Xenopus tropicalis: one gene and its partners. The protein of the gene in region 1 interacts with the protein of each later gene in a pairwise test. Links are inferred from orthologs where the notes say so. Each region holds a gene or a part of one and is shown on either strand. Other genes may lie near its edges.

Region 1 (4,079 bases):
GGGGGGGTCCCACAATTTGGTAGAGATTTAGGGGTGTATTGGTTATATGGGGGCAGAAATTAGTTGAGGGTGCCCTTTGTGTAGGAGACAGTGATTTATGATAGGTTGGGGGGGTCCCACAATTTGGTAGAGATTTAGGGGTGTATTGGTTATATGGGGGCAGAAATTAGTTGAGGGTGCCCTTTGTGTAGGAGACAGGGATTTATGATAGGTTGGGGGGGTCCCACAATTTGGTAGAGATTTAGGGGTGTATTGGTTATATGGGGGCAGAAATTAGTTGAGGGTGCCCTTTGTGTAGGAGACAGGGATTTATGATAGGTTGGGGGGGTCCCACAATTTGGTAGAGATTTAGGGGTGTATTGGTTATATGGGGGCAGATATTCAGGGAGGGTGCCCTTTGTGTAGGAGACAGGGATGTAGGAATAGTTGGGGGGTCTGTAGTTTGGTAGAGATTTAGGGGTGTATTGGTTATATGGGGGCAGATATTCAGGGAGGGTGCCCTTTGTGTAGGAGACAGGGATGTAGGGAGGGTTGGGGGGTCTGTAGTTTGGTAGAGATTTAGGGGTGTATTGGTTATATGGGGGCAGATATTCAGGGAGGGTGCCCTTTGTGTAGGAGACAGGGATGTAGGAATAGTTGGGGGGTCTGTAGTTTGGTAGAGAGTTGAAGAAGGTACTATGGGGGCAGTAATTTGGGGGGGGGCAGGGGGTTCTATGGGGAAGCAGGGGGTTAGTAGTGGGGTAACATGGGAACTGAGATTGTGTGAGGATTGGCTGTGGGTATCAGGCATTAGAGTAGAATTGGGGCAGAAGGTACAGGGGGGGTTAGTTCCTATCCGGGCAGTGGAAGGAAGACATAGGGTAGCGGTATAACGGGTAACGGGACTGTATGTGGGAGAGTTCGGTACCGACTGCAGCAGAACATCGCAGGGGCCCCGGCTTGGGCTCCGCACCCACAGCGGCTCAGTAACGTACTCCCGGCCCCTCCCGCACTGTCCCAGCCCCGCCCATTCAGTCAGTCCCAGCTCCGCCCATTCAGCACCACAGACAGCGACCAACGGGGAGACTCGCTAAATATTAATGAGCCTGTCACTTACTCCTTCCCACCATTGGTTGGGAACAGACAAGGGGCGTGTGTATGGGCGGGGTTGGCGGAGGAATTTGCTTGTTCCCCGCCCAAGGGAGGGAAGCGGTGGGTTGGCGCAGCCGTTTGTTTTTAAGGAGACGTGAGTGGGCTGCTGGGTCAGTCGGAGCCGGGCGGGCTGAGAGGAGGCTGTGTGGGAGCCGCACGCTGTGGGTACGGGGAGGGCAGTGACAGTGACTCTCTGTGGCGGAACTTCGCTCTGACAGGGATCCCTACGGGCTGCTCTATTGCCCCTGCCGCGGACTATTTCCAACCCCTTTGGGTCGCCCGGACTGGCCCTCGGATTCCCGCTGGATTCTCCGGAGTATTAACCCCCCTACCCCCGTATGGAGAAGTATCTCCCGCAGCTCCTGGCTGAGAAGGACGCGCTGGATCCGTCATTCACTCACGCACTCAGGATGGTGAAGGAAGGTAGGAACTATTGCCCCCCCCGGGGTATTATATTGTTATATTATGGGGGACACTTGCACTGGGGGTGACCTCTGGGGTATATTTATCCTGTGGGGTACAGAATGCAGTGCGATTCCCCCCCCGGGTATATTTTACTGGAACTGCCCCACTGGGGTACATTCATTCCTACCCTCTGCCCAGGAACAGCCCCCCTGTACTCTACTGCCCCCCCAAGGGAACTCATGCACTGTAACTGCCCCACTGGGGTACATTCATTCCTACCCTCTGCCCAGGAACAGCCCCCCTGTACTCTACTGCCCCCCCCATGGGAACTCATGCACTGGAACTGCCCCGCTGGGGTACATTCATTCCTACCCTCTGCCCAGGAACAGCCCCCCTGTACTCTACTGCCCCCCCATGGGAACTCATGCACTGGAACTGCCCCACTGGGGTACATTCATTCCTGCCCTCTGCCCAGGAACAGCCCCCCTGTACTCTACTGCCCCCCCATGGGAACTCATGCACTGGAACTGCCCCACTGGGGTACATTCATTCCTGCCCTCTGCCCAGGAACAGCCCCCCTGTACTCTACTGCCCCCCCATGGGAACTCATGCACTGGAACTGCCCCGCTGGGGTACATTCATTCCTGCCCTCTGCCCAGGAACAGCCCCCCTGTACTCTACTGCCCCCCCATGGGAACTCATGCACTGGAACTGCCCCACTGGGGTACATTCATTCCTACCATCTGCCTTGGGACAGCCCCCCTGTACTCTACTGCCCCCCCATGGGAACTCATGCACTGTCACTGCCCCACTGGGGTACATTCATTCCTGCCCTCTGCCCAGGGACAGCTCCCCAGTACTTTATTACCCCCCCCCCAAGGGAACTCATGCACTGGAACTGCCCCACTGGGGTACATTCATTCCTACCATCTGCCTTGGGACAGCCCCCCTGTACTCTACTGCCCCCCAAGGGAACTCATGCACTGAAACTGCCCCGCTGGGGTACATTCATTCCTGCCCTCTGCCCAGGGACAGCCCCCCTGTACTCTACTGCCCCCCCAAGGGAACTCATGCACTGGAACTGCCCCACTGGGGTACATTCATTCCTACCCTCTGCCCAGGGACAGCCTCCTTGTACTCTACTGCCCCCCCAAAGGGAATTAATTCACTGAAACTGCCCCACTAGGATACATTCATTCCTACCCTCTGCCCAGGGACAAACCCCCTGTACTCTACTGCCCCCCATGGGAACTCATGCACTGGAACTGCCCCACTGGGGTACATTCATTCCTACCCTCTGCCCAGGGACAGCCTCCTTGTACTCTACTGCCCCCCCAAGGGAACTCATTCACTGGAAGTGCTTCCCTGAGACATATCATCTCTTCCTCCTCTCCTAAAATTGGTCCTACTCAGTAAAGTACCCTCACCATCATCTATCCATCTATCTATCTATCTATCTATCTATCTATCTATCTATCTATCTATCTATCTATCTATCTATCTAATCTACCTATCCATCCATCTCTGAAGAATAAGGTAAATCAATGTTCATTCTCCAAAGCACATTCACCTTAACAACCTCCTATGGAACATGTCCCTCAGCTTCCCAAACAGTCATGTTAAGAACCCCCAAGCCCTTTATACTAAGAATTCACCCCCCAATGTACAATACCACCCAAGGATTTTACCTCTACCCTCAAGTCAAAGCTGCTCATACTCCGGGGACTGCGCTCCCTAAAGCTCCCCTATAACCTTATCCTCTCTAGGGAACTCATCTCTCAACCTCTTCCAAAAATCACAATGCTTGGGGCAGGGGGGGCTCTCTCTTCTTGATGGCCAGGATTATATCTAGAAAGTCTTTTTGTTTTAAGAGCAACCCCTTGGCTAAACTTAGTGATGGGATTGGGTAGAAGGACTGGAATCTTGAAATCTAAATTGCTCTTTTGGAGAGGGTGGGGGGGTAATATGTTTCCAGGCTCTGCTTTCACTCTGGTTGGGGTGGGTACATAGGATAACGTCTCTGAAATGCAAAAAAATCACATTGTGGTATTGGTACCTGACCTAAATCTGTCATTACCTGTTCTAGGGGGAAGCTATGGATTTGAACTACTATAGCTCCCTCTGGGGGTCTTGTACTTAGAATGCTCTTGGTGGTGGTGGGGGGCTGCGTTCTAAAACTACACTCACTCCACCTTCTAATGTATCTATAGCATATTGTAGCTCGCCCCGAGTCCCTCTGGGAAGATCCAACGCCAGCTGTTTCCCTCATGTTAATTCTATTGAGATCCGCTGTATCTCACAATAGGTGCCACATATATAGCATTCTCCGTCTCTCTCTAAGAGACCGTGGCAGTCACACCTACAGAGCAGTCTCCATCTCTCTATTTCGGTGGAAGAGAGCCCACCCCAAGGTATTGTCATCGCTTTATTTTTACCCTGGTTTCAGTATAGGAATCCTCAGGGTAGGACAACATGCAGCCCCGGGAAAGGAATCCTGTTGAATAAGATTTAATTGCTCCTCATCCGATCAAAGCGAGACGTCT
Region 2 (3,653 bases), on another chromosome or scaffold:
TGATAGAGCGGCTAGTATCCCCATCTGATTTGCTCCTCTGCTTTAGAGGATGGTCTCTCTCACTTGTGAGCTTTAAGAATGCCACAGCATTAAGGCTCGCTAGTCTTTTTGGAGCAGGAGAATAGGAGACCACTTTATCCTCCACCTTCATTTCGCTTTCAAATACTTCATCAGGTAACTGGCCGGATGCCATGCATCTCTGTCTGCTCCTTTTGCTGTGCAGGTGACAGTTTGGCTTTAAGTTAGTCCAACCTTCATCTGATATGCCATTTTCACTAGCTTTTCCAAAATCCTTTCTAATCTTACGAGAACACCCATCATCTCTTTCAAATAACAAGTTATTGACCGCTTCTGCATTCAGAGAAGCTAGTCTTCGCTTCCGGGGCTCGGGAAAATCACGGATATTATCCATGCTGGACGTGACCCCAGAGTATCTCTTCCCTTTTGGAGTAACCCTTTGCATTTTGGAAGAATGCCCAGTATGAACCTTCAGTGTGCCAAAGTCATCCACCCAACAAGAGATATTTGGTTGGGCCCCACTTTGACCCTCCATAATACATGACCCAGCAACATCCTCCAGTCTGGTAAGGACAACAGTACATGTCTTTTCATTCATGGCTGGTGACAGCCGTCTCCGCAGTGGGTATGCTTTCCGTATATCCTTGCTTAATATTCCTCTGCCCACGCTGGAAATCCTTGACTGGCAAGCTATGTCTTTAAAAGCTCTTTGACCTGTGCAACCTGCTTGGGTGGTATCCATCATAAAATCTGCTGTCCACACCACTTAGGTCTGCACGTCTAGAAGCTCTTTTTCAGTAGAAAATATAATGCTCCTTTTCAAACATGATGACAGCTGTGTGTACCTGTAGAAAAAAAAGACAAAATAATCAATTGCAGATACAAATAGAAAATGTCCCACCGTAAACTACTATTTGAATGTATTTATGTATGTAATGTACTTTCTACATGTAAGTCCTCAATTTGCTTTCCACAACCAACAAATTAAAACCTTTTAGGCAAGGAACGTAGCACTACAAAAATAAATAACTTAAACAGATGCAATTAATAGTAATCACTAGTATTTATATGCACTGCCATGTTGCTCTAATTCTAAGGACTTGCTAGATTCCCAGTTTGGGGTCAGGAAAAAACTTCTCTTCTTTCTGAAGTAGTATGGGGTGGCTATGAATGCTTGTTCTTATCCCCCTTCTTTTGTATCAAATGCAAGTTAAATGGGTAGTTCAACATAAAGTTAACCTTTACTATGTTATGGAATGGCCTATTCCTAGCACATCTGCAAGTGCTCTTTATTTTTTAGAGTTTAAAGGGGTAGTTCACCGTCATGTTAACTTTTAATATGTTATAAAATTACCAACCGTTATCATCTTTGAAAACTGTTCTTTGTTTTTTATTGTTTCTGAATTATTTTTATTCATCTTCTAATTCTTTCCAGCTTTCAAATGGGGGCCACTGACCCTGGCAGCCTATAAATTATTGCCCTGTGAGGCTACAATTTTATTTTTATTGTCATTTTTCGTTACATAACTTTTTAATTGAGACCCTCTCCACTCATATTCCACTTTCTCATTCAACCACTGCCTGGTTGCTAAGGTAACTTGGACTCTAGCAACCAGACAGCTGCTCAAATTCCAAACAGGAGAGCTGCTGAATAAAAACCCACAAATAATAAAAAATGAAGAGCAAATGCAAATTGTCTCAAAGGAGCACTCTCTGCTCTCTCTAGCAACCAGATAACTGCTAAAGAGCTACAGAAAAAAATCAGATATCAATACCACTGTGAACTACCCTTTGTAAGAAAAAATGTTTTTTGCATTTGCTCTATTAGTCTGTTCTTCGAAAAGCTTGGGGAAACATTAATCTATTATACATAAAAGCCATAGGTATCCTGTAAAGTATATCCTCATAAATGGTGCTTATTAACGTCATTGGTTATTACTGGTGCCTAGTGAGGCGAGCGTTAAATAATTAATGTGTAACTATATGAAATCTGAATGTGACAAAAAAGAACAGCATTATGAAGATTTGAGTGAAAAATAAAATAATGGTTCCTTTAATGCAGCTCTGCGGATTTAACAGCGTATAATTTTATATAGAGCAACATGTACTTCGCTGTTCAGATTCTATCAAAAACACATGTTTATGAGTTTAGTCCGGGGCAGGATCAGCTGAATAAATGCACAGGCAGGTTGAACCCTAGCACAGGGCTAGTAAAACCATTAACCCCTGGTGGGAGGGCTGCCCTGCCATATTACGGATGGCTTTGGCAGCAACGGGATGAAGTGCTGTCTTTAATTCTCCTCTAAGAGTTTGCTAATGTGCTGAGAAAACAAACAAATCTGACGGAGGCTCCACAGCAATGCATAACCTATTTAATTACAGCTGGAAGGAACTTCTCGGAGAAAATCAAAGAGGCAATGAGACTTTAATGAAGAATTTGAGATGAGCCATCTCAGTGATGTAGTGTGTGCGAGCGGAACCCCAGCATCACCTCTCTAGGAATCCCATCTGCATCAATGCGCTGCTAGGGGCACAAGACTGGCAGCAGTGTGTGTGTTGATTAAAGCGGCTGGTAGCAGCCTCCGATTGCCAGACAACATGCGGCGTGTTACTTACATTCCCCTGGTGCTTACGTTTAACCCGCCCTCTGCCTCGTGTGGTTAGTGAAGGCACGGTGAGCATTCTTGTGATTCCTCCCCTCCCTTCTGTTGTGAATTCCCTGGAAAGTCGGCGTGACTAAGAGAAGGAATTACAGAGCTCTCGGAAAAAACACTGACGGCTCTGCTTTCCCAGCCTCCGCCGCCTGTCACAATGCGCTGCCCTACGGTAGTTTTCTGTGCTGTCACTGTGACGACACCCTATAATGGCAACATTAACTCAGTGTAATGGCAGAACCTTCCAGGCAATGCAACCAAGTGGCTTTTTGGCTCGTTAAGCTGCCCATACACTTTAACATTTTACTATGCCTAACGACCAATTTTAATGTGATCCGAAAAATCCATCAAATTATCGTAGAGTTAATGGGCACCAAACAATCGTACATCTAGAGATTTTTATCCAACATCTGTCTGAGCAGGTTAACAATAGAATTTGCCCATTGTCTAATTGTTTGCAGAACCAAACAGGCAGTTTTCCTAGCTTCAGGTACAGAATATGGTCGAAAATGGTCGTTTTTGTTGATGGACAAATTGTACTTTTAAAGGGCTGTGGCACATGGGGAAATTAGTCGCCCGCGACAAATCTCCCGTGTCGCGGGCGACTAATCTCCCCAAAATGCCATCCCACCAGCGAGAATGTAAATCGCCGGTGGGATGGCATACGTGGCGCCGCGATTTCCCTTAAATCGTGGAAGTTGCCTTGAGAGGAAACTTCAGCGATTTTGGGGAAATCTCAGTACCGCATATGCCATCCCACCGGCGATTTACATTCTTGCCGGTGGGATGGCATTTCGGGGAGATTAGTCACCCGCAACGGGAGACTTGTTACGGGCGACTAATGTCCCCGTGTGCCACAGCCCTATTGATCGTTTTAGGATAAGCTTGGTCCTATGATAATGAAAAGATCTTTTAAAAACCTCTGGCCAGCTTTACCTATAGCACCCAATCAGATGTTTGCTTTCATTTTTCAAACTGAAC
Region 3 (3,653 bases), on another chromosome or scaffold:
GTCAGTTGTAATGTGTGGTGCTGGCTCCTTCTGAAAGCTCAGACTCAGGCACAATGCACTGAGATGGCGCAAACACACCAATATTACAGCTAAAAAAAATAGATTTGTTTGTTCAAGAATGAAATTTTAAATTGTAGAGTGAACAGTGTAATTTAGACACCATAAAATCAAGATAGAATCGCTTTAAGATCCTATGTGCTTATATATGGGTCAATAATGAGCTTCCACTTACATCCATCTCCCAGTTAAACATTGGCAAGATACCTGCATACCTGCATCTGATATAGTATGTGTCAACTAACTTACCGAACTGAAAAAATATCAGGTTCTCCTTTCGCTCCAAATTCAGCTGGTCATGGGCAAGCAGCTCCTGATACTGCTGCTGTTTGATCTTCTGGATTATGTTCTCAGCTTCCTGTTCAACATGCAAGTTATAATACATACTATAATATAAAAGTCCAGTAACTACTATAAGAAGGAATGAAGGAAAATTATGCAGTAAAAGGAAGGGAATGTGAGGAAAGAAAATGGAGCACAGAGCATGTGCAGGAAATCAGCAGAAAAGAAGATGGGGAGCTACTGGGGCATTTTGGGGGCACAGATCTTCCCTGCTAAAGGGCTGTGGTTGCCTTGGGCTGGTACAGAAGCCCAAAACATATGATGTAACATATCTAGACTAATTCTATGTTGACCTTTAGTTATCCTAGAGGGGATATGCCCATCATATTTTTTCAATTCATTGTCAAGATAACTATCACTGAGGCAGCACATGAATGATGTGCAGACCTTCTTCTGCTCTTGTTCACTGAATAAGTATCGTACCAGCCACTTGTATCAAAGATATGCAATTGAAGCCAAATGGAAGAGGCTTGTGCAGGAGCATATCCTGCCTACACTTCCTTCTTCAGCTTCTTTCACACTGACACAGATAGGGGTTGGAGATGGTAATGGTTCAAGGGTAAATATCTTGATTTAAAAAAAAAAAAGACCAACTGAGAAAATGTTTCTTGCGACAGAAGCTGTTCATATTTGGACACTTGTCCAAAGGTGAACATTTAGCTTGAACTGCAGCTTTAAAAAGAAAAATAAGGTGGTGCCACAGGTAACAAAAAACAAACAAACATGGGTACTGGTCTGATTTCAATGGGATGCCAAAAGAGGCTGTCAGTGAAACCCTCCATCCTAATTCCCTAGGGCCTCTTTTTAGAAATACCACAAATCTATAGGAGCTAGTCAGCAGGAACAGGGTCGGACTGGGCAAGCATGTCATGGGAAAAAACCCAGTGGGCCACACCGACCCAGACCTGATTGTGGCAAAGTAAGTCTGTGGCCTTAATGATGTATGCAACTTTCACTTTACAAAAGACCATTCCAGCAATTCTAATTCAGAACCACCCCTGCAGCTGCTTACAGTGTTAGGAAGTTGTAAACGGTAGTTTAGATCCCCGAGCCAGAAAAGATGAGTAAATCGGTGTGTGAGGTTGAACGGGCTGAGCTTCTTATCCCCCAGTATCAGAAACCGCAGGATGTTGAAGTAATTCTGATTCCTCCTAAATGAACGAGCGAGCAAAGAAGACACGTTAGGAAGTTGTAAATAATAAGTTTGATCTCCGAGCCAGAAAAGATGGGCAAATCAATGTGTGTGGTTAAATAGGATGAGCTGCTTATCCCCTTAGGCTAGAAACCACAGGACATTAAAGTCATTTCTGATTTATTTTGAATGAAGAAGGAAGCAAAGCACACACACATGTATAGCATAACTATACAGGCATCAGCCACAGTAATAATTTACTGTTATACTGTACATTGGAAAGAGCATCTATGCACTAAAAGACCCAGCATTTAACATGAGCTTCATCTTGTGGAAATAATAACGCTTTAAATATAGTGAATTAAGGGAAATGTAAACCCTGACAACAAATTAGTGTAAAATATTCATAAAGCTCCTCTAAGCACTTTTGCAGTCTACATCCATTTTCTAGTTTTCAAGATATCAGCAACTTTTCAACTTCTAAAATAATGAATTTGAATCAGCAGCACCACCTGCTGGTCATTTTGGCTAATAAGCTCCAGTCAGCTGAAAATGTATTTCCTGAGGAGATAAACACTGTAACAATGTGTGTAGCAAATTTATTATACTGGCTGTTTAAAACTGCTAACAATCTAAGGTTCCCATAACAGCAATACTGTATTACGTAAGGAGCCTTTCAGGCTGTGAAAACCTCCAAAGCCAATACCTGCGACATACCTGAGTTTCTTTTCACTCCCAGATGTAAGATGACTGTTTATAAAGCCAAACGATGTTCCATTAAACATGAAAGCGGCACCAACTGCACCTTTATTTCCTAAATAAAAGAGAAACAGTTCTGTTTATTTTCTTTTGTTTTTATTTTGCCTGTTCTAGCTTAATGATAGGAACTGACAAGTTCCTATCAGTTAAGCTCTGTGTGTTGTGTTGCCCAATCCACTCCAGCCCAGAGATTCACTGAAGGTCTGACACTTAACATGCTGAACTGTGCAGGCCAGGAAGAACCATAGTTGTCAATTACACTTGGCTGAGCTGCACACAATCCTCCTATAGGCTGCTACTGTTTACCTTTCTACTCCACTTATAGTAGGATCATGCCACCTCCAATCCAGTTTGCTAAATCTATGCATACTGGACATCAAACTGCTCAGTAGGCCCATGGCGTTTATATTTAGGATGTTTTTTCTTGGTACCTAATGCTTTGTGGGAGATAAGGTGCTTGAAAGCAGAAGCATTGAGGCGATTTTTTTTTTTTTTTTATAGAAACTGCTAAGTTCAGAAAAGCATTGCTGTTTGGTACTTAGGAGTAGAGTGACATACAGCAGAATATGTATGTTTCTGGGGATAAACCTAAAGTTTTTTTGGAATGTAAAGTATGCCATATTCTGCTGTAGTGCTTTGAAATTTCGGTAATTTACTGCTGGGAGTTTTGATCTGTAGAAATCAGAAATCTCTGTAAAGGTGGGCATACATGTTCAGATTTTAGTCTTCTTCTGAAAAAATATTGGAATATCGATTGTACGTTCAACAATCTAAAACTAACTTTCAGACTGAAATTGTAGGATAAAGCCCAAAAAATACAAATCGGAGGATGTTCTGAACATGAAATAGTTGGCAGACACCAATCGTACAAAAGTGACTTCCATGGTACGTCCCCCAAGGACTTCGTCCAATACACATTTGCAGATTTTATCATTATCCGACTTAAATTTTGAAACCTGGCGGATTGTCTAAACAACTCATCACCTCATGGTACGAAAATTAGCGGTGACGATAATTCTGAGGCCAGAAACAGCCTATTTAGAGCTCTACATCTTGTTCCAGAAGTGGAAATACACAAAAACACGCAGCGTTAGAAAGCTCAGGTTCTCCTGAAAAAAATGATATATAGTTTTCCTAAGTAAATAATATCTCATGGGTTTCGATAACAATAATGTGTGCCAGTGGTTCTTGAACTCAAACAAAAAGGCTTTATTAACTTGATCCACACAGACGTACTTGAATATCAATAAAGCCAGATATATACATTGTGCAGGTGTATGGTATATACTCACAGTTATACCTTCACCTATACCTGCCCCTCAGGTTCAATCAATGAAGGAATGCTTAGCTCAATAGAATGGGT

What was found.
Region 2: the proteins of khdrbs3 (region 1) and bahd1 interact in binary tests that used the Homo sapiens proteins (3 or more experiments, as listed by UniProt). The two-hybrid records come from large-scale screens. The link is inferred for Xenopus tropicalis from reciprocal best matches to the Homo sapiens genes KHDRBS3 and BAHD1.
Region 3: the proteins of khdrbs3 (region 1) and inpp5d interact in binary tests that used the Homo sapiens proteins (3 or more experiments, as listed by UniProt). The two-hybrid records come from large-scale screens. The link is inferred for Xenopus tropicalis from reciprocal best matches to the Homo sapiens genes KHDRBS3 and INPP5D.

What each region holds. Positions count from the first base shown.
Region 1 is NC_030682.2:144,623,553-144,627,631, forward strand, and holds the start of khdrbs3 (KH domain-containing, RNA-binding, signal transduction-associated protein 3), read left to right. Parts: upstream 1-1,226; 5' UTR 1,227-1,469; coding exon 1,470-1,554; intron 1,555-4,079. UniProt on the Homo sapiens protein: RNA-binding protein that plays a role in the regulation of alternative splicing and influences mRNA splice site selection and exon inclusion. Binds preferentially to the 5'-[AU]UAAA-3' motif in vitro.
Region 2 is NC_030684.2:114,752,162-114,755,814, reverse strand, and holds part of bahd1 (bromo adjacent homology domain-containing 1 protein), read right to left. Parts: intron 864-3,653; 5' UTR 764-863; coding exon 1-763.
Region 3 is NC_030681.2:126,699,953-126,703,605, reverse strand, and holds part of inpp5d (phosphatidylinositol 3,4,5-trisphosphate 5-phosphatase 1), read right to left. Parts: intron 2,346-3,653; coding exon 2,249-2,345; intron 1,551-2,248; coding exon 1,412-1,550; intron 416-1,411; coding exon 307-415; intron 1-306. UniProt on the Homo sapiens protein: Phosphatidylinositol (PtdIns) phosphatase that specifically hydrolyzes the 5-phosphate of phosphatidylinositol-3,4,5-trisphosphate (PtdIns(3,4,5)P3) to produce PtdIns(3,4)P2, thereby negatively regulating the PI3K (phosphoinositide 3-kinase) pathways.